6 linked regions of the Xenopus tropicalis genome follow. The protein of the gene in region 1 interacts with the protein of each later gene in a biochemical or structural test. Links are inferred from orthologs where the notes say so. Each region holds a gene or a part of one and is shown in the gene's direction. Other genes may lie near its edges. The genes, in order: casp3.2, mapt, birc2, rb1, panx1 and gsn.

Region 1 (4,229 bases):
TAATTGCCCATGGCCCATCATGCTTTTAGCTGCTATAATTTCTGAATGAAGCATAACCCAAATTGATAGAACCCTTATTTTAATTAGTTGAAATAGCTCTACATAACCATTTCTTTTTTTACTTATTGTAACTTTCTGTCCCACTTTATTTAATCTGACAGCAATTTATCAGTTCTCATCGTTGGTCCCAGGCAGCGTGCCTGGACTTCTTGCCTACTTTATTGAGTACAAACTATCTTTTTTCCTGCCTAATTATATTCAAGTTATCCTGCTTGATGGTCACATTACAAATTTCTTGGGTCTTGTATTTCCTCTTCCAATGTAAAAGCACCCAGCTTTCAACCTTGTGCTTCTATATTGTAGTGGAACTCCCCAGTGACTTATAATAGCCTTATATTTTACAATAGGGGTACATTTTTCACTATATGAGCCTATACTGATAGGGAAATACTATAATTATGGTTCCATACAATACCTGATTGAGTAGTGCACCTATTCATTGTTTTTTACATTTAAGATATTGTTTTCTTCTATTAAAGGGGAGCTGTTGCTACTGTAATGAAATGTATTTTTTTTCTTTACAGTTGTGTAGATTCATGATTTATTGATGAATTTCTCAACCCATCATGTTTTTCCAGAAGTTCCAACTAATCCCATGGCCCCAAGGTGATATAAGGATCCAGTTCCACATATTTTACACCTCATTCCTTTTCAATAAAAATGTCAAATAAATAGAAATAAAATTTCTATTAAAAAAGCCCCAATACCATTCAAGTTTGTATTATTGAGAAAAAAAATCCACCCCCTGTGCCCATTGACAGGAGAATACTACAGAGTAGGATTTGCTTTCATACTTAACCTCCTCATTATAACTAATTATAACTAATGAATATAACTATAACGTGCAACATATACGTCACCCGACCTTTTCCTTCTCATATCTCCAAACAATGCGCACATCAGCTCCCGCTGCAATATACAAATTTCCCGCCCATTCCCAAACATATTATTACTCCGCCTCTACTGCTGCAAGGTAAAGGCTGGGAGCTATATCATGCAGAAACTGCATTCCCAGAGAATTCGTCTATCGTTTGTCTTCAGCCTCCAGTCACGAACTCCTAATAGCTGCACTAGTTCATTAACTATGTAAGAGCTGGAGACCCAGCAGGAATATCCCTGCCATGGAGATATAGAGGTAACTTCGCCAGCATTCCGCTTCTGATTGGCAGAATGGCGTTACGTCACCAGTTGCTCCGTTTAAGGCCCAGCCCATTGGTCGGAACGTTTCCGTATTGTTCGTTTACAGGTTCCCCTGAGATAGCTTGGGATAGGCGAGCGCTCGACCAATCAGGCTGTCTCTCTGGATTAAACCCCCCTCCCTTACTATTTTGTGTGAGGTCAGCGCTTGTGTTGTTGCTGTCTTGGAAAAACACGCCAGACACAAAAGCAGCAAGGAAGGAACGGAGCAGCCTGTACTGTACTCTCCGCTATAGCCGCCTTGTCTCTGGGTAAGTGTGCACAATCCTAGTGCGGTATTTTTATATACACACATACATAATGTATTTATATGCCCGCCGGGTAGGAAAACAAGTTATGTCGGATGTGCTGTAATGACAAGAGGCGCTACATTCTCTATGTACGTGGCATACACCTTTATAATGTGTTCTTTTCTGCTTTAAATATTCTTTGTACCAGACTTTTGAACACATTGGCACTGAGTACCCAGGCTAGTGTGTGCTAACTAGCTTTTATAAGTTCATTCTTATGTACAGGCAGCCTGTAGTTTCCTGTAAGGCACCTCTATCAGCTCCCGTTGTTCTAATTCGTGTAAGGTAAATTATTAAAAAAAAAACCAACTTCCTATGAGCATATATTTTCTGCAAGCACTTCCTTAAAATAGTAAATTGTTGTTTATTTCTTTCTGAAAGCAGCATGTAAAATTTGAAAATGTTTGATTTTGTGTTTCCATATCAGAATGTTTCCTGGTAGTTATTTTATTGTCTGTTTTTCCTGCCATACCACAGCAGTCCTGTCTTGCTTTATGGCAGGAATTATAGTTACATGCTTTGGTGCAGCTGTGCCCTTTGTCCATATGTGCACATTTCACTAGCATCTAGGCACGTGTTCTAATAAGTAATTATAAAATCATACACTCGTGTACATTTGTGTATGTTGGCCATGGTATGAAACACAAGTAGACCAGGGTGTTGAGTACAGGTGCTTTTTAACAGTCCATGGAACTTAGAGGAAACCATTTACTAATAAGTACAGAACATAGAATAGAATGTTTTTTTCGTGTTTTTGATACATGTATTATTCTGTCACTATGAGCACTGTACAAGCCTCGTGAAAAATCTGCACAGCCCACAAGGGACTTGTACATGTAATAATGTAACTCACTAATGGCTGGCATGGGGTACATTATTCCCTAAGTATCCTGAAGCACACATTTTTCATTTAGATCATAATCCTATAATACACTGTGGTAGAGGGACAGTCTACTTCTTGTACTAGGAAGGTAAAAGATATAGATTGAGTGCTATGTTTTCTGTCCTAATTTTTATTATCCAGTCAGTTTTATTGTATAAGATAAAGATATAATATATATAAAATAACTCCCTTCATATCTAGGTACAGTATATGATCTGTGTCCTCTCCACCACAGAGTGGGCATCTCAGCCCAGTGCCTGTATATTTCAATGTATAGTGTCCCTTTAAGAATGCAAGTTTGTTATTTCTGATATTGAAGTTACAAGTTTACACATGTACCTGTGCAAGGCAAACAAATTGTTGATAAAGTAGATAAGATTATTTTCACTGACCGTGACATGATTCATGTAATAAGTATCATCATTAGCTTGTGGAGGCTTGTGTGTTTGTGTATAAACATCAACATGTTTCATTTCTCTTTGAACCGCTGTGGCGAACCAAAACGCACCGATGTGGTGAATGATGTGAATCATCAATAAACCCTTCTTTTTTCTCCGTGTGTGCTTCCAGTTCGTGGAGATATTTGACTTGTTTGGGAAGCACCCAGAACTTATTTGGAGTGTGGTGAGTACCTGTATCTGTTCTAACTATGTATAACTTATATATAGTGTATTTAGTGTATTCCTATTATCCTTATATTTGACATCACTGAGCTCTATCTATCTAGCTATATCTCTGGTTATTACCACATGCCCTTTCCCTTGGGCAACTTGTTTTTCAACATTGGTAAACTTAACCCAGTCCAATGACCGATTTACATTTGGCAGCCTGGAGCTTTTATTAATCTAGCCTTAGTGAGCTTCTTCTTCAACTTCAAAGCTTTATTACAGGGGACATATAGGAGGAATATTTTATAAGTGGGAAGTCACTTGAAGTCAGTGATAAGTACTTTAAATGTAAAGCTTATATAAAATGTATATAAATACACACACACACTGAAACCGTCAGGATTTAGGAGATCAGAAGTGTTAAAAATTGGGCCTTTGCTCTGATATAAAGTACAGCTGCTAACATTCTCAGATGTTCATGTGAACTGTTGTTGCAAACAGCTGAAGAGTCACTAGTTTTGTCAGCACTGATCTAGGGATGTGGAGAAGGAATAAATGAGCTAAACATGAGGGCAGGAGCCTTGTAAGACTACTGAGGTGAAAGTGTAGGTAGCAGTCAGGGTGTTAGGCATAATAGTAGAAAACAAATGGGCATTTTACTGATGTTTATTTATATGTGTTATTTTAACATCCATGAAGGTGCTTCCCAGTAAGGGATTCATATAGATAGACCCCCCTTCCTTTGCTTCTCAGCATTTGTTGAGCAACCCTTTCCAATAATCATTTCATATATCATGTTATTGTAATTAGAGAGCTGCAGGTTATATCAGTCTGATGAATTATCTTGATAAAGTTTATATTAAAAACCAAGTAACAATTTTGCAAAAAAGCCAGTGGTGTGTGGACTGAGATCCTTGTACAGGTATGGGACCTGTTATCCAGAATGCTCTGGACCTGGGGTTTTCCGCATAAGGGATCTTTCCATAATTTGGATCTTCATACCTTAAGTCTGCTATATAATTAATCCAATAAGGATTAATTATATCTTAGTTGGGATTAAGTACAAGGTACTGTTTTATAATTACAAAGAAAAAGGAAATCATTTTTAAAACTTAGAGTTATTTGCATATAATTGAGTCTATGGGAGATGGTCTTTCTGTAATTCGGAACTTTCTGGATAATGGATTTCCG
Region 2 (3,573 bases), on another chromosome or scaffold:
AGGACAGCGGGCTGGTTCTGTAGGAGAGTGGGCTTGGTTCTGTAGGAGAGTGGGCTTGGTTCTGTAGGACAGCATGCTTGGTTCTGTAGGAGAGTGGGCTTGGTTCTGTAGGACAGCATGCTTGGTTCTGTAGGAGAGTGGGCTTGGTTCTGTAGGACAGCATGCTTGGTTCTGTAGGAGAGTGGGCTTGGTTCTATAGGACAGCATGCTTGGTTCTGTAGGAGAGTGGGCTTGGTTCTGTAGGACAGTGCAAGGCTTTCTGTAATAAATACCTTCTTTTCTAACAGCTGTCAGAAGGGATCAGAGAAAGCCGCCACCCAGCGGTGCCAAGCCAGACAGAGGTGAGTGGCACATATACTGTGGGGAGCAGATTAACCCATGTAATTAATATTACTAAGTTGCTACTGTCAGACTATACCGTTGCTATGTTTAATAGGCAATAGTGCGATTGCATAATGATTATTACATTCAATGTGTGGGTGCTCTGAGCTGATCTTGGTAGCCCCTATATGGACTGGCAGCCTACAGAAAGCTCTGTTTGGCAGTACTTCAGGTTTTATGCCTCCAAAACTTGCCCCTAAGCCAGGAATTAAGAAATAAGCACCTACTTTGAGACCACTGGGAGCAACATCCAAGGGGTTGAGGAGCAACATGTTGCTCACGAACCACTGGTTGGGGATCACTGGTCTAGAACAACCAAATGCACACAGCTGCCACGGGCTGAATATTACAGCTGGCTGAGAAGCCACAAGTGTTGCAGTACCAGGCTTGTTTCAGGTTTCCTAGTTTCATGATCAGACCCCATTTGTCTAAATTGTCATGTAGTTCTCCTCTCGTTCAGTTCTAATGCAGTTTTACCCTTGTTGCAGCAGAATCGCCCAAATCTGGTGAAAGGAGCGGGTACAGCAGTCCTGGATCACCTGGCACACCAACTGGACGTTCTTCTTCACAAACACCCCCAACCCGGGAGCCCAAAAAGATTGCTGTCATTCGCACCCCTCCCAAATCCCCAGCATCTGCCAAGAGCCGTCTGCAGCCAGTCACTAGCCCAGCAGCCATGCCTGACCTGAAGAATGTGCGCTCAAAGATCGGCTCAATAGACAACATTCGGCATCAGCCAGGTGGCGGCAAGGTACCAGGGAAGCAGATTTGGCAAAGGCCAGAGATTTATGGTGCAGTAGATCAGAGGATATATAATTCCATAAACCACGATAGAGCTCACTGCCCTCACCCATATTCCTTTCCTTGTATAATGTACTTACCTCTGTTCTTTTTTATACAGGTGCAGATAGTTCACAAGAAGATCGATTTGAGTAGTGTGCAGTCCAAGTGTGGGTCAAAGGACAATCTGAAACATATGCCAGGGGGAGGCACAGTAAGTGGCCCCTCTTTATACACAGCTATGCAGACAATGAAGATAAAGCAACAGGGCACATGATGAGCAGGGAGCGACACATCCTTACTTGCCCGCTAACTTGCCGGTCACCCAAGACGCAGAGAAGCCTTGTACTTACCACCTTTCCTATGTCAGGCATTAAGTACAGGCTCTGTAATAAGCACTAAGGGTTACAATTTTGCAAGCTTTAGTGCTCTTGCAGTTGCAGACGGGGCTTCGCTCAAAGGGGCTGTTCACTTTTAAATTAAATATGTTGTAGAGAGTGCTCTGAAAATTTTCAACTGGCCTTTATTTTTCATTACTTGCGGTTTTTTAATTATTTAGATTTTTATTTAGCAGCTATATGGTTGCTATGGCCCAAATTTGCTGCCTCAAGTTCAACCCTTCCAAGTAAACACAGCTGTACTTGTATTTAAGGGCAATAAACCTTACTGCTGACTAACGCAGGGAGTTTAATGTGCTGTGTAGCCATATTGTACAGAGGCAGCAGGGTTCTTATTGAGGGAGCTCTTGTATGAAGTGGGCCACTGGCCTAGAGAGCTGCTAAACTTTAGCAATCAGGTGACCTATTAGATTTTGCTCTCTCTCTCGTTTGCTCGTTTCTAACTCTGTTCTCTCTCTCTTCTGTCCACTTTCAGATACAGATAACTCACAAGCCGATCGACTTGACACACATCACTTCTAAGTGTGGATCTTTTGGCAACATCCACCACAGACCAGGTACCGCTGGCCACACTTATTCATAGCCTCGCCCAACTTGTGCCCAGTTTTAAAGATAAGTAAACCTTAAAAAACAAGATGATGTGAAATTGATGAAAGTGTTATTCTAGGCACATTTGCAATTGATATTCATTACTATTATTATTTTTAAATTCCATGATATTAAGAGTTAAAGAACTGTTAATATGAATGCACACATTACCACCTGCTGGTTCCTTTCTGAACACTAACCTTCACTAACCACTGATGTACAAACCCAGATTGCTAACTGCCTCCTGGCTATCTCCTCCTGGATGAACCAATGCCACCTCAAACTTAACCTAGCTAAAACAGAGCTCATGGTCTTCCCGCCCAAACCTAGCCCTTCTCCTCCTTTAACCATTACTATTGATGACATGACCATTAACCCTGTTAAATCAGCACGCTGCCTTGGGGTTATCTTTGACCAGTCACTTTCCTTCTCTAATATGGATTGACAGTGTTATTAATTAACACTGCCAAAACCTGAGGGGAATATTGCCAAGATACGCCCCTTTCTTTCACAAGTTACTACTAAAACACTAATCCATGGCCTTATCCTTTCCCGCTTAGATTACTGCAATCTCCTACTAACCGGCCTCCCGGACTCCCACCTCTCTCCCATACAATCCATCTTAAACTCTGCTGCCAGGATCCTCCTGCTCTCTCCTAAGAGGAAACCTGTTTAGCCTCAACCTCAATCTCTCTAGCATGGCTGCCTGTTAAGCAAAGGATAGCTTACAAAATCCTTCTGCTAACATTCAAAGCCCTTCACTCCTCTGCTCCTCACTACATTTCTTCACTGGTCTCCCTGCATGTTCCTGGTCATCTCCTCCGCTCCTCTCGGAGCCTCAGTCTTTTTACACCATCCACACCCACTGCGCTCTCTCGTCTTAAACCTTTCTATCTCGCTGCTCCTTACCTCTGGAACTCTATCCCTGAATCGCTCCGTAGGGAACACTCACCCACTCTCTTTAAGAAAAAGCTCAGCTGTTACCTTCTGGAGCCCTAAAACATTATTTTGCCCAGTCCTGGGCTCAAGGGCAAATGCCTGTACCTGGTGCACTCTTACCTTCCTATTTGTGCCTGTATGTTACCCAACCACTTAGATTGTAAGCTCTACGGGGCAGGGACCTCCTTCCTACTGTGTCTCATACCACATGGCACTTATTTCCTGTCTATTTATATATATTTATTGTATTTATTATAACATTGTAAGATTGTACAGCGCTGCGTACCCTTGTAGCACTTTATAAATAAAGTTATACATACATACATACATGCAGTAGTTGAGGACGTTGTTGAGGAACTTATCAGGAGAATGAAAAAGGTCTTTTCTGATGTTCTTTTGGTTTGGAAAAACATTAGAAACTTCAGATAACTTTTTCCACATCTTTCATAAAGAGAGGAACATCAAATCAGCCCTTTTAATTTCTCCT
Region 3 (3,573 bases), on another chromosome or scaffold:
AGTCTTATTTCCCATGGGGTTGAGCTCGTGTCAATTGTTAGTGAACCAAATTGCGCTTTGAATACGTGCCTTAATTGAAGGTATCTATAAAACTGCAAGTTTGGCTTCTCCAATTTCTCTTTGAGTATATTGAATTGGACAAAGATACCATTAATTAGCACATCCGAGAGCCATTTTACCCCATTGGCTGGCCAGTATTGGAAATCAGGCAATTCCTTAAAGTGTTGTAAGTTAGTATTATTCCATAGTGGCATTTGTAGTGAATGACCCTTGATGTTTACTCTGTTTTGCTTTATCAATTTAGCCCATGCTGTCATTGGGGTAGTAAGTACTTCTGGAAGAGGTATTATGTCCCTCTTTTTCCTATACGGTGCATTACGGAGTGCTTCCAATGAACCAATTAGGTTCCCATGTAATGCTGTGAGTGGGTTGTCAGGATCTGGGTTGAACTCTGATAATTGTCTTTACGTGAGTTTTAGCAGAGGCAATTCTCAGTATTGTCTGTGGCAGGGGATTTTCTGGAGTTTAGTAGCCTTGAAAAAGTAGCTGCTACTAGTAGCCCAGTGTGTGTTCACCCTAAAGGTGGCCATACACGGACCGATTTTTTACTTACAAACGACCGATTCGCGAACGATCCGATGCTATCGTTAAGTTATCGTATAGTTGGTGGTGTACGAACGATCGTCGGCCCACTAAACGAGCCGACATTATCGTCCCCAAAATCGATCGGCCAGGTTTAAAAATTTTGGTCGTTTAACGATAAAATCTGCCAGTTGGTGTGAGTGTCAGACATTTGTCTTTCAACGATTGTTCTCTGCGCATGTCACGATTGCCAGCAGCGGAAGTCAACGACATTCGATCGTACGTAGATGTACGATCGTAGGTATTTTACGATAATGATGCGACAAAATCTTTCCCGAATTATCGTTGCCCGTGGATGGCATATCGTATGGGAACTCGATCGCCATACGATCGTTTGTCGATATAATCGTTCATCGCACAACGAGCGAAATCGCCTCGTGTATGTTTATAAAACCTGAGCCATTTCTACGGGCAGAGTATGGAACAGAGTAGGGTGGGTCGTAGGAGCTTGGGATCTTGTTTTTGCTATTGCAGCAGCACATTCCTTTCGTGATAGGCGTTTGCAGGCTTTCCCTTCTGGGGCCCCATAGGAAATCTGCAATGTAAAGTTGTGCTTGAGTTCTGCACTGAGAGGGGAGACATATTAGATTTTATCATCATGCCTAAAACTCTTTTCTCTGGGGGGGGAGACAGCTGTGTTTCTTATGGCAGTGTCACTCCTGTTTATTGGCAGCACACCATGGGCTGCCTGTTAAAGGGGACGTTGACCCAAACGGTAAAATTTATAGCTAGAGAGAATGCACAAAATGCATATGTGATTTGTACACTGTGCCTTTCCCCAAGCCAGGGGACTGGCTGCATTGCTCTAACAATGTATCTAAAGTTGGATGTAAACCCCTCCACCTCAACAGATAAGGGGGTTTCACTGCTCCTTTAATATTGGGAATATAAGGGATGAGATTACCTTGTAGCCTAAATGATCTCTGCACAGGCTTCTAGTTAGTTATGAGCCTCTGCACAGGCTTCTAGTTAGTTATGAGCCTCTGCACGGGCTGCTAGTTAGCTATGAGCCTCTGCACGGGCTGCTAGTTAGCTATGAGCCTCTGCACGGGCTGCTAGTTAGCTATGAGCCTCTGCACGGGCTGCTAGTTAGCTATGAGCCTCTGCACGGGCTGCTAGTTAGCTATGAGCCTCTGCATGGGCTGCTAGTTAGCTATGAGCCTCTGCACGGGCTGCTAGTTAGCTATGAGCCTCTGCACGGGCTGCTAGTTAGCTATGAGCCTCTGCACGGGCTGCTAGTTAGCTATGAGCCTCTGCACGGGCTGCTAGTTAGCTATGAGCCTCTGCACGGGCTGCTAGTTAGTTATGAGCCTCTGCACGGGCTCCTAGTTAGTTTATGAGTATTCTGACTGATAGTGGGACCAGGGGTAAAAATTACCCTTTAGTTATAACCTTTACCTGTAATTAAATATGTCCTGTCCTGATTAAATATATCATTGCAGAAAATGTATTTATGGTGAACTGCATTTTTCCATTGGCAGATTTTTTTGCGAAATTCGGTGTGGAAAAAGTTTGCCGTGTGTCAAAAAAAAAAGTTAAAAAAGTTAAAAAAGGTGTGGTTGCATGTAAAAAGTCGAGTGTCAAAGTCTTTCTTTGTAAAGGGATATTGACATTTTTCCACATTTGTTAGAAATATGTTACTATCCAATTAATAAACTATCTGACTTTCTCAGAAAACCATTACTGGCCTGTGTTGGTGACTGACCCAGCGTCTCTCCACGTGGCACTAGGAGGGTAGCACAAAGCCCTGATAGGCTGGGGTGTTGTTTACATTTGTCATCAGCTGACAGTCCCATGGTTAAACACGTGAACACTTGTGTTTAGATTGACTTTTTAATTGTGATCACAAATCCCCATGTGCAATTGCCTAAATAAGAATTGCAGCTGTTGGCACTAATACAATTAGATTGGAGCTGGAGATTGTAAATCTGATAATTTGTCAAATATATGTTATTCCAGCATTGTTAATTAATACCCTTTTATAGGACAAATATGTTAAACGTAACTAACTCAGAGTCTTTTGCCCACTCCTCTAGGTGCTGATGTCTCACCGACCAATGCGGTGATCTGGAGAAGAATTTTGTTTTTCTCTACTGCTATTTACATTATACTATGGCTTGCTAAACCCTTACAAAAGGAAGGGGGCATCTTTCTTAGGGGTACTAAATACCACCACTTTAGTTATAGTTAATACAGAAAGCGTAGCATTTATGGCCATAATGGATTATAGAGTATTTCTTACAATGAAATGTAGCAATCAACTTAAAAAAGATCTTAGCACTGAAGAGCTAGCGTTTTACTATCCTACCTGAATTGTATATAAGAGAAAGAATAGAGTGTAGGTAGAAGTAAGAGCTCCCAGTGTGCATGCCACCATAAGATTGTGCTGGCTAACTAGATGTGGTTCAGTAGCACTGAAATCTTTGCATTCACTGCATGTTTTTATTAGAACTGTGTTGCAGAATAGGAAACGTAACTGATAATATAGTAACTATCTCCCTAGGAAAGATGCCCCCTTCCTTCCCTTTCACAAACCATGGCAAATGAGATTTTGGACAGACGCCCAGACCTTGCTAAGAGGTTGAAGTCAAACCCAAGCATGTGCAAAATTACCTTGGAATTCTCATGTGAACTCTACCGTCTCTCTACATTTAGCTCCTTTCCAAGCAATACACATGTGTCTGAGCGCAACCTTGCAAAAGCTGGTTTTTATTACACCGGGCAAGATGACAAGGTCAAGTGCTTTACCTGCGGCTTGATGCTTGATAATTGGAAGAAAGGTGACAATGCATTTGAAAAGCACAAAAAGTTGTATCCCAGCTGTAGTTTTATTCAGAATGTCCCTTCAGTGAATCTTGGCGCATCTCTGTACTCTGCCTTCTCACCACCTGCCTCCAACAGTACATCCATGCCTGCTGCTTCTGCTGAAAA
Region 4 (3,573 bases), on another chromosome or scaffold:
AACCAATCTGTCATTTCCATGGATCCTTCGGGTATTTGAAATTAAAGCTTTTGACTTTTACAAAGTAATTGAATGCTTTATCAAAGCAGAGCCAAGTTTAACAAGCGATATGATCAAGTACTTAGAGCGCTGTGAGCATCAAATTATGGAGAGCCTGGCTTGGCAATCAGTAAGTAAAGCTTTTTTTCCATTGACTTGTCCAGCATTGTACATTATTAAGCAACGTGAAACCGTTTTATAAATCTTTACTGAATTTTTAAATCCACTTTTTTATCTATAATTCACAAATTCACAGAGTAATGTTCCTGCTAAACTGTGCTCTCGTTCTTCAGCACAAAGCTTTTGAACTAAGCACAAATTAGGGTGCATGGACTTTGTAGGGGTGCACAGTCCCACTCATCATGCTACAAACACAATTTTAAAAACTCTGCATAAAATTCATTTTTTTGATCACAGTCAACACAAATTTGGGGAATCTTAATTTAGAAATGCAGTATCCACTCTAGGATAGGTTTTGAACCTATTGATGTTTCATATCTTTGCTCTTTATTATGTAGTAAAACCTGGCCCATTCTGTTGCCTCAATTACCTTCTTTGTATATTAAAATCCATTTATGACTGGATAGGAGGATTTATTTGGCTTGTATATGTCAGCTATATTTATTTTTGGGGGTTCTGATGGTGTTTATAAAATATTCTACATAAGCCCAAATGAGCTCGTTTCAAAAAGTGTCCTTTCCTTTTCAACCAGGATACCCAAGATATAAATATTAATTTGACCTACATAATGTTTTATATATTTGTTTATTATAATTTACCCTCAAAGCCTATCAGAAAAAAACTATAGGTATTTTGAAATAAAAATTAGTACAGGTATGGAAACCCGTTATCCAGAATGCTCCAAATTACGGAAAGCCTGTCTCCCACAGACTCCATTTTAATCAAATAATTCATTAATTTTAAAACTGATTTCCTTTTTCTCTGTAATAGTAAAACAGTACCTTGTACATGATCCCAACTAAGATATAAATAATCCTTATTGAATGCAAAACAATCCTATTGGGTTTAATTAATTTTTTATTGATTTTTTAGTAGACTTAAGATATGGAGATCCAAATTACAGAAAGACTTCTTATCCGGAATACCCGTGGTCCCGAGCATTCTGGATAACAGGTCCTATACCTGTACAAAGTGTGCAAGGTACAGTTACATTAAAGCAGCGGTTCACCTTTAAGTTAACTTTTAGTATGTTATAAAATCGCCTGTTCCTAGCAACTTTGCAGTTGGTCTTCATTATTTATTTCTAATAGATTGAATTGTTTGCCTTCCTCTTCTGACTATTTCCAGCTTTCAAATGGAGGTCATTGACCCCGGCAGTCAAAAAACTATTTCTCAAAGAGGCTACAATTGTATTGTTATTGTTACTTTGTATTACATATCTTTCTATGCCGATCTTCTCTTCTATGCAGATCTTCTCCTATTCATATTCCCTGCTCCTGTTTAAACAGCCTGGTTGCTAGGGTAAATAAGACCCAAGTAACCAGATAGCTGTTGCAATACCCATCTGGAAAGCTGCTGAACAAAAAGCCAAATAACTGAAAACCCATAAAAAAAATGAAGACCAGTTGCAAATTTTCTTAGAATATCAATGTCTACATCATTCTAAAAGTTAATTTAAAGAGTAAGAGCTAAGTGGATGAGATCCCAGCCCCATGGGGCTTTCTTTGTTCCAAGAAAAGTTTAAATTTTTTTTGTAAACTTTGTTTTTATTGTTTTTTTACATGTTTCGTTGGTACATTTATTTCACATGTTACATGTATATCATTTTGTTTATTATAGAGAAAAATGAAAAGGTTAGGGGAGATGGGAAGAGGGGGGAACGGGGAGGGTATAAGGGTCAAAAAACATTTTAACATTTTGCGCTCTAGGTCTCTAAGCTGGTACTTATCGTCCCTTACTAGCATTTCAATTTCACCTTCACTTATTTTTTACTTTTATCCGTTTTATTTAGAGGGGGTCCTACCCATTGCAGTGTGTTCGAGAGAGATTGTCCTTATTTAGTATCCAGGTGTCCCATATCTTTAGGTATAGGTCAGTTTCGTTGTCCAATTGATATTTGAGAGCTTCGTTGGCGTGTATATATTCTATTTTGTCCAGGACTTTTTCTATGGATAGTAGATTTGATTTCCATTGGGCTGCGATGTGGATTCTAGTTGCCTTGCATATATGTTGTGTTAAGCGTTGTGCAGAGTTATTGAGGCCTTGTAGTTTGTGTCCTAGGAGCATTGTCTTAGGGCATGGTTGGATGTCCGTATGGAACATTTTAGAAAGGATAGTGGCTACTTTTGTCCAGAGTTCTTGCACTGTTGGGCAGGTCCACCATATATGCCACATAGTGCCTCGTGTGGTGCAGTTCCTGAAGCAAAGTGGTGACGATGTGGGGTAAATTCGGGAAAGTCGTTCGGGGACATAGTATGTCCTATGGAATAGTTTGAGTGAGGTTTCCATTATAGTTACGTTGTAGCTACCTTTGAATATATTTTGGTAGTTTTTAAGCCATGTTTCTTGGGGTATTTCTGTTTTTCGGTCTTATTCCCAGTCTAGCATATGTTGCAGTTTATTTTTTGTATGTATATGATTTAGGTGGTGGTATAGTAGAGATAGCGTTTTCCGGCCCATTGGTGAGGCCTCGCAGATGGTTTCCATTGCTGTTTTATGCATGTTTGTTTTTCCCCATAGTTGTTGTATAAAATGGGTTATTTGTAGTGCATGGAAGTGTTCAGTTGGGGGTACCTTGAATTTTTGCATTATTTGGGTTAGTTGTAAAGGTTTGGATCCGTCTGTGAGTTGGTAAGCAAAGGATATTCCTTGCTCCGTCCACCATTTGAGTCCTTATTGTATCCTGGGGTGAAAAGGTTGTTTCTCCATATTGGTGTCAGCCTTGAGGGCTTTGATGCTAGCTCATATTTGTATTTAAGTGTGTTCCATAGTTGCAGCATTTGGCGAGTTATTGGTGATATGTCTTTGAGCATTTTAAGATCTTGAGTCGGATTCCAGATTAGGCTCGTTAGAGAAGTCGGTTGTATTAGGGCAGATTCAATTTCGACCCAGAGTGGGGCTAGTGTTTCTCCATGTAGTGGGGCAATTTGGGCACATCTTGCTGCCCTGTAATATTGTTGTAGATTTGGGACTCCGAGTCCTCCTTTTGATTTATGTAGGCACATTGTTCTTTTATTAATCCTTGGTCTTTTATTGTTCCAAATAAACATCATAACAGTTCTCTGGAAGCTTTGCAAGTCTCTCTGTGAGATTGCTATGGGTAGGACCCTAAAATAGTACAGCAGTTTTGGTAAAGTCGTCATTTTAATACAGTTAACCCTCCCCATCCAAGAAATTTGTTTCTTATTCCAGCCCTGCATTTCCTGTGTTAAACTTCTATATAGTTGGGGGTAGTTGCGTGTGTACATAGTGTCTAGGGTGGGGGTTAAACTTATGCCTAGGTATGGTAGGTACTTCTCCCTAATCTGGAACTCAAAGTTGAGTTTAATAAGTTTTACCGTGTTTTTGGGGATA
Region 5 (3,573 bases), on another chromosome or scaffold:
AGGCACACACACGCTGTCTTGTGATAACTAAATCTAATATCCTTAATATGAACTAATGAGCAAAGCCAGCAATGAACTGTGTCTTTATACGGCTTAAATCAGATTCACATGTTTTGGTTTTATTCCCCCGCCGCAGATCTGAAATCAGAACGGCCTGATCCGATTATTTACTCAGCACTAACAGAGAAGCCTCTGTGTGCCCAGAATAGAGCTGTGTGTGGCATTGGGTCATACCCCGAGCTGTTTGTGCCCATAACAAGCCGGGCAGGAGGCAGCCACATTGACTGACAGTGAGCAAAGGGCCTGGTGCCTAGGGGTGACCGACTCTCTCTGCAGCATTGTGCTTATTATAGATAATATAACTCCTACCATCTACTGTCTCTCCTTTCTGACTAAAAACAAACTCAGAATTAATAATAATCTGAGAATAATCTCAGAATTTGTTCTTGTAATAATAAAACCGCACCTTGTACTTGATCCCAACTAAGATATAATTACCCCTTATTGGGGGCAGAACAGCCCTATTGGGTTTATTTAATGGTTAAATGATTCCCTTTTCTCTGTAATAATAAAACAGTACCTGTACTTGATCCCAACTAAGATATAATTACCCCTTATTGGGGGCAGAACAGCCCTATTGGGTTTATTTAATGGTTAAATGATTCCCTTTTCTCTGTAATAATAAAACAGTACCTGTACTTGATCCCAACTAAGATATAATTACAGGTATCGGACCCCTTATCCGGAAACCCGTTATCCAGAAAGCTCCGAATTACGGAAAGCCCGTCTCCCATAGACTCCATTTTAATCAAATAATTCAGAATTTTAAAACTGATTTCCTTTTTCTCTGTAGTAAAAAAACAGTACCTTGTAATTGATCCCAATTAAGATATAATTAATCCTTATTGGATGCAAAACAATCCTGTTGGGTTTAATTAATATTTTATTGATTTTTTAGTAGACCTAAGGTATGGAGATCCAAATTACAGAAAGACCCCTTATCCGGAATACCCTTGGTCCCGAGCATTCTGGATGGTCCTATACCTGTACCCCTTATTGGGGGCAGAACAGTCCTATTGGGCTTATTGTTGAAATTATTTTTTTAGTAGACTTAAAGCATGGAGATCCAAATTATGGAAAGAGCCCTTATCTGGAAACCCCAAGTCCCGAGCATTCTGCATAGTAGATCCAATACCTGTATTAAGAAGTTGCTCCTCGGTTTGCTGCTGTAACAGCCCATAATGTTCTTGGAAGGTTTCCAGTAAATGGTTAAGTTTGTAAACATCATATACAGGTATGGGATCAGTTATCCGGAAAACTCAGAGTCCAAAACAATCTGGATTACTGGTCCCATACATGTAACCAGTTCAGCTGAACCTTTGAGCACCTGAGTGGGCAAATAAATCCTATTGCAAGAGGCTGTGTAGTCCCTGGGTATGTCCTGTTCACAAACTCTGGGTACCCCTCAGTGCCCCAGTTATGGGGGTGTATAATATTCTGCATGTGATTCCTATATGTGTCCCTCTGTCTGTCAGTCAGCAGTCAGTATTAATGTTACATGCACATTTCTCACTAAATCCTTGTTCTGTTCAGTAGGATCCAATTATATTTGGTACAGACCCATCTATCAAGACAAGCGCGTGTTCATAAAGTGCCCATTGTCCTTGTCCCCAGAGCAGACAAATCAGTTTTCTGCATATATTAAGGTTCTGTATCATAAGGGGGAGAATAAAAGGGATTGTGTATCACAAGTTAGAGTTTGGCTCATGTGTTTATCTGCTGAAAGCCTGGTACTGTCCGGGTCATGGGTTCCACTCCCCCCAATATCCTGCATGTTAATATGGACCCTAAATGGGGTATTGTTCATATCCCCATTGGCTCTTCACACTTATTTATTCTTTGCAACTTCTACATTTTATCCTTTTCTCCAATTTGTAGGTTCCAAGGGTTCTATGGCTTTCATATTTCATAGAGTGGAAATAGCCCTGCTCTGTGTGCTCCATCTGTATTCTCTCTCTATACTGGGCGGGGCTACATTCATAAAACAGAGCTTCTGTATGGCTGAGTAACTCAGTGGGGGCAGAATTTTTCATTCTGAAGTTATAACTTGATGAATCCCCCCAAACAGGCAGATTTTTTGCCCCATGACCTTGTTGTACGACATAATTAGATATTCCGCCCGTTCGTCTCTGATATGGTCCTTGTGGGATGGATGTGCATGGTCCATCTGGTTGGCCCAGCCCTTGCTTGACCAGATCTACCCATCCTTGGCCAGTATAAAACGTTATTAATCTGATTTGGGCATAAGGATGGGGACAGGGTTAGAGAGGTTTGAAATTCTAGCCTACAAGGTTCATTATAGGTTCTTAATTCTTAGCCAATCATATTGGGGCAACCTCACATACTCGCTTAATAAATCTAATGCAGTGTTTGTGGTATAAAGGAATATATGCAGTGTCTATATGCAGCTCGCCCCTGAACATTATTATTTTTTGCTTCATTGTATCCCTTTTCTGTTCTTTGCAGGTTCCCAGATAAGCTGTTTTGCCCCCACATCCTTCTCATGGCGCCAGGCTGCGTACGTCGACTCTTTCTGTTGGGCAGCAGTTCAGCAAAAACACCTCTCTCAGAGCGACTCTGGGAATGTCCCCCTGTGGCTGCATAAGGTACGTCCCAGACAGTAGCACATATAGGGGTATTGTAATAAACAGCGCAAAGTTTGCCCAGGAGCAGTAACCCATAGCGACCAATCAGCAGGTAGCATTTACCGGTCACCTGTTTAAATATCTTATTGGTTGCTATGGGTTACTGCTCATGGGCAAACTTAGTGCCTTTTATTACATATGAGATATAATGTCTATTTAACTCCACATTTCACGCTTTTTCTCTTGTTCACATGGATTGTAAATGGAATCTAAGGATGGTGCACATTGAGATGTTACCCAGTAGTATTGCCATGTCCTTATTCTAAGTAACATGCTGTTGCTCCTAAAGGTGGCCACACGTTAAGATCCGCTCGAGCAGATCTTCTCCCGATATCCCCACCTACGGGTGGGTGATATCGGGTGAATTTAGGTTAATGCGAACTAGAACGAATTAGAACGCCGGTAATAGGCGCAGTCTCGGTCCCTGATCCGAGTACACTTTTTAACTTGCCTGATCGATATCTGGCAGATATTGGTCGGGCAGGCCTGTCGTTTGTGCCCCTACACGGGCCAATAAGCTGCTGAATTGGTCTAAGGGACAGATATCGGCAGCTAGAATTGGCCCGTGTATGGGGACCTTTAGTCTTTTCCCTTCCATCTACACAGAGGCACAAGGGAATCCCATACCCAGCATAGTGTAACAGCTTTGACTTTCTAGCTGTAAAAGGGTACTGCCCTTCCGTATGCCAGGCTGTCCCTGGGCACTAGCTACCCTAGAATATTCAGTGCTGTCCCTACCCAGTCTATATTTGTGCTTAAAGGCACCATGATCCCATTATTATTATAGTTGCCCTGTGCCATGCTTTCTGTAATGAACATAAGCTCATATTGCCTTAGGCAGTTGTTACAGAGCTTGGGCATTTAGAGG
Region 6 (3,573 bases), on another chromosome or scaffold:
AGTGCCAATTCCATGTATAATACACCAGAACCCACAGCAGGATAAATACAGTGCCAATTCCATGTATAATACACCAGAACCCACAGCGGGATAAATACAGTGCCAATTCCATGTATAATACCCCAGAACTCAAAGCAGGATAAATACAGTGCCAATTCCATGTATAATACCCCAGAACCCACAGCAGGATAAATACAGCGCCAATTCCATGTATAATACCCCAGAACCCACAGCAGGATAAATACAGTGCCAATTCCATGTATAATACCCCAGAACCCACAGCAGGATAAATACAGTGCCAATTCCATGTATAATACCCCAGAACCCACAGCAGGATAAATACAGTGCCAATTCCATGTATAATACACCAGAACCCACAGCAGGATAAATACAGTGCCAATTCCATGTATAATACCCCAGAACCCACAGCAGGATAAATACAGTGCCAATTCCATGTATAATACCCCAGAACCCACAGCAGGATAAATACAGTGCCAATTCCATGTATAATACCCCAGAACCCACAGCAGGATAAATACAGTGCCAATTCCATGTATAATACCCCAGAACCCACAGCAGGATAAATACAGTGCCAATTCCATGTATAATACCCCAGAACCCACAGCAGGATAAATACAGTGCCAATTCCATGTATAATACCCCAGAACCCACAGCAGGATAAATACAGTGCCAATTCCATGTATAATACCCCAGAACCCACAGCAGGATAAATACAGAGCCAATTCCATGTATAATACACCAGAACCCACAGCGGGATAAAAACAGTGCCAATTCCATGTATAATACCCCAGAACTCAAAGCAGGATAAATACAGTGCCAATTCCATGTATAATACCCCAGAACCCACAGCGGGATAAATACAGGGCCAATTCCATGTATAATACCCCAGAACACACAGCAGGATAAATACAGTGCCAATTCCATGTATAATACCCCAGAACCCACAGCAGGATAAATACAGTGCCAATTCCATGTATAATACCCCAGAACCCACAGCAGGATAAATACAGTGCCAATTCCATGTATAATACCCCAGAACCCACAGCGGGATAAATACAGTGCCAATTCCATGTATAATACCCCAGAACCCACAGCAGGATAAATACAGTGCCAATTCCATGTATAATACCCCAGAACCCACAGCAGGATAAATACAGTGCCAATTCTGGGGTATTATGCATATTCTGGAATATTGGTCCTGTATTTATTCTACCGTGTGTTCTGGGGTATTATACATGGAATGGAATGTTCACTATATTTGTTCATCCATGTGGTCTGAAACTTTAAATATACATGTGCCAAAGCTGAAAGAATACATGAGATATATATATAGATTATATATTAGTATTTATTTGTGTTTAGTTGCAAATTGAGGTTAACTGTGTGTGTAGTAGCCTAAAGGGTCTTTGAATGTGAAGCTTTCTCTATGGATTTAACCTCTCCTTTTCCACCTTACAAGGTCTCTGATGGAAAGGGTGCCATGACGGTGTCTCTAGTGGCAGATCAAAACCCCTTCACCCAGGCGGCCCTCAACTCAGATGACTGCTTTGTACTTGATCACGGCTCAGATGGAAAGATCTTTGTATGGAAAGGTTTGTATTCGTGAAGGCATATTGTGGGTGTCTGGGGATTCGGAGTATCTAGACCCACATCAGTGTCCTAACATTTTAACCTATGTCTCTAGGAAGGAATGCCAACATGGAAGAGAAGAAAGCTGCACTAAAGACTGCCACTGAATTCATTTCCAAGATGGGCTACCCAAAGCAAACTCAGGTGGGTCCTGGCATCTCCTGGCTTTGTAATGCCAGGCTCCCAAACCAGCATTGATTTGCATTACTTATATCCATAGCTTTGTTACCAATACCACATGTTGATCCTTTAGGGGACCTCAAACCAAAAAAGGTCCAAGAACTATTGCTGTAGACCAGGTGTCCCCAACCTTTCTTACCCATGAACCACATTCAAGAGTTGGGGAGCAACAAAGGCATGAAAAATGTACCTGGGGGTACCAAATCAGGGCTGTGATTGGTTAACTGGCAGCCCCTATACGGACTGGCAGCCTACAGGAGGCTCTGTTTGTCTTTATACTTGCCTCCTCCATTCAAAAATAAGCGCCTGTCTAGAGGCCACCAGGAGCAACGTTGAAATGATTGAGCCACTGGTTGGTCCAAGCTGCTGTAGACCCTTCTGTTTGGGTTTTCATTGGTTCTTGTGTCAGGGTTACAATATTCTCTATTTTCCCGCAGGTCCAAGTGTTGCCAGAGAATGGCGAGACTCCCCTGTTCAAACAGTTCTTCAAGAATTGGAAAGACAAGGAGGCCACCGAGGGCATGGGTGTTGCCTACGTCCCCCACCACATCGCCAAAATTGAAAATGTGCCTTTCGACGTCAGTGGTCTACACGAATCCCCGGCCATGGCTGCCCAGCACGGCATGGTGGATGATGGATCTGGCCAAAAACAGGTGAGTTTTAATGCCATGATCAGAATCCATTGATTGGTCTTCTTACCTTCAGTCACTAGGGGGCAGTTGGGAATCGTGCACTTCATGACCCACAAGATGATCATTTGTTATTTTACCAGATTTGGCGTATTGAAGACTGCAAGAAAGTTCCTGTTTCTAAATCCCTTTACGGCCAGTTTTATGGTGGAGACAGCTACATCATTCTGTATAATTATAAGCACGGCGGAAAACAAGGCCAGATCATCTACACATGGTAGGGTATTGCATTGTGGGAATCTCTTGACCCTCCATGGTTAATTTGACCATCTCTTTGGGTTCAACATGGGTCTCCAGTATTTCCCACCATCCATTTTTCATTCTGCTTAAGAAGATCATGGCCTCTTCTGTTGAAAAGCAGCCTCACAGCTTGGTGCTACCACCACTATCCTTTACCACAGGTATTAGTGGGAGGTGGGCAGTTGTAGATTTGAACCACACATTGCTTTGAATGTTGGCCAAAAAGCACTTGGTCTCGTCTGACCACCAAACCTTTCCCAGCCCTTGTCCCAGCTGAGGCAATGTCATGCTTTTTTTTGCTATATATACTATAGGGAGCTATATATACTATAGTGGGGTAGCTATAGGGAGCTATATATACTATAGGGGGGCTAAGTATAGGGGGGTATATATACTATAGGGACCTCTATATGCTATAGGGAGTTATATATGATATGGGGGCTAACTATAGGGAGCTATATATATACTATAAGGGGCTTACTATAGGGAGCTATATATATACTATAAGGGGCTTACTATAGGGAGCTATATATATACTATAAGGGGCTTACTATAGGGAGCTATATATATACTATAGGGGGCTAACTATAGGGACCTATATATGCTATAGGGAGCTATATATGCTATGGGGGGGGGGTAAATATAGGGAGCTATATATACTATAGGGGGCTAACTATAGGGACCTCTATATGCTATATAGACCTATATATGCTATAGGGAGCTATATATGCTATGGGGGCTAACTATAGGGAGCTATATATACTATAGGGAGCTATATATACTATAGGGGGCTAACTATAGGGACCTAAATATG

Evidence for each region.
Region 2: of the proteins of casp3.2 (region 1) and mapt, one has a biochemical effect on the other in vitro, tested with the Homo sapiens proteins (3 studies listed by BioGRID). The link is inferred for Xenopus tropicalis from reciprocal best matches to the Homo sapiens genes CASP3 and MAPT.
Region 3: the proteins of casp3.2 (region 1) and birc2 form a complex in vitro, tested with the Homo sapiens proteins (3 studies listed by BioGRID, with this or other methods). The link is inferred for Xenopus tropicalis from reciprocal best matches to the Homo sapiens genes CASP3 and BIRC2.
Region 4: of the proteins of casp3.2 (region 1) and rb1, one has a biochemical effect on the other in vitro, tested with the Homo sapiens proteins (2 studies listed by BioGRID). The link is inferred for Xenopus tropicalis from reciprocal best matches to the Homo sapiens genes CASP3 and RB1.
Region 5: of the proteins of casp3.2 (region 1) and panx1, one has a biochemical effect on the other in vitro, tested with the Homo sapiens proteins (2 studies listed by IntAct). The link is inferred for Xenopus tropicalis from reciprocal best matches to the Homo sapiens genes CASP3 and PANX1.
Region 6: of the proteins of casp3.2 (region 1) and gsn, one has a biochemical effect on the other in vitro, tested with the Homo sapiens proteins (2 studies listed by BioGRID). The link is inferred for Xenopus tropicalis from reciprocal best matches to the Homo sapiens genes CASP3 and GSN.

The regions. Positions count from the first base shown.
Region 1 is NC_030677.2:44,843,712-44,847,940, forward strand, and holds the start of casp3.2 (caspase-3), read left to right. Parts: upstream 1-1,427; 5' UTR 1,428-1,508; intron 1,509-3,000; 5' UTR 3,001-3,054; intron 3,055-4,229. UniProt on the Homo sapiens protein: Thiol protease that acts as a major effector caspase involved in the execution phase of apoptosis. Following cleavage and activation by initiator caspases (CASP8, CASP9 and/or CASP10), mediates execution of apoptosis by catalyzing cleavage of many proteins.
Region 2 is NC_030686.2:17,258,459-17,262,031, forward strand, and holds part of mapt (microtubule-associated protein tau), read left to right. Parts: intron 1-287; coding exon 288-341; intron 342-869; coding exon 870-1,132; intron 1,133-1,282; coding exon 1,283-1,375; intron 1,376-2,034; coding exon 2,035-2,116; intron 2,117-3,573. UniProt on the Homo sapiens protein: Promotes microtubule assembly and stability, and might be involved in the establishment and maintenance of neuronal polarity.
Region 3 is NC_030678.2:162,212,376-162,215,948, reverse strand, and holds part of birc2 (baculoviral IAP repeat-containing protein 2), read left to right. Parts: intron 1-2,678; 5' UTR 2,679-3,178; coding exon 3,179-3,573. UniProt on the Homo sapiens protein: Multi-functional protein which regulates not only caspases and apoptosis, but also modulates inflammatory signaling and immunity, mitogenic kinase signaling, and cell proliferation, as well as cell invasion and metastasis.
Region 4 is NC_030678.2:134,956,762-134,960,334, forward strand, and holds part of rb1 (retinoblastoma-associated protein), read left to right. Parts: coding exon 1-169; intron 170-3,573. UniProt on the Homo sapiens protein: Tumor suppressor that is a key regulator of the G1/S transition of the cell cycle. The hypophosphorylated form binds transcription regulators of the E2F family, preventing transcription of E2F-responsive genes.
Region 5 is NC_030678.2:165,574,095-165,577,667, reverse strand, and holds part of panx1 (pannexin-1), read left to right. Parts: intron 1-2,526; coding exon 2,527-2,666; intron 2,667-3,573. UniProt on the Homo sapiens protein: Ion channel involved in a variety of physiological functions such as blood pressure regulation, apoptotic cell clearance and oogenesis.
Region 6 is NC_030684.2:9,687,212-9,690,784, reverse strand, and holds part of gsn (gelsolin), read left to right. Parts: intron 1-1,480; coding exon 1,481-1,613; intron 1,614-1,705; coding exon 1,706-1,794; intron 1,795-2,267; coding exon 2,268-2,483; intron 2,484-2,602; coding exon 2,603-2,736; intron 2,737-3,573. UniProt on the Homo sapiens protein: Calcium-regulated, actin-modulating protein that binds to the plus (or barbed) ends of actin monomers or filaments, preventing monomer exchange (end-blocking or capping).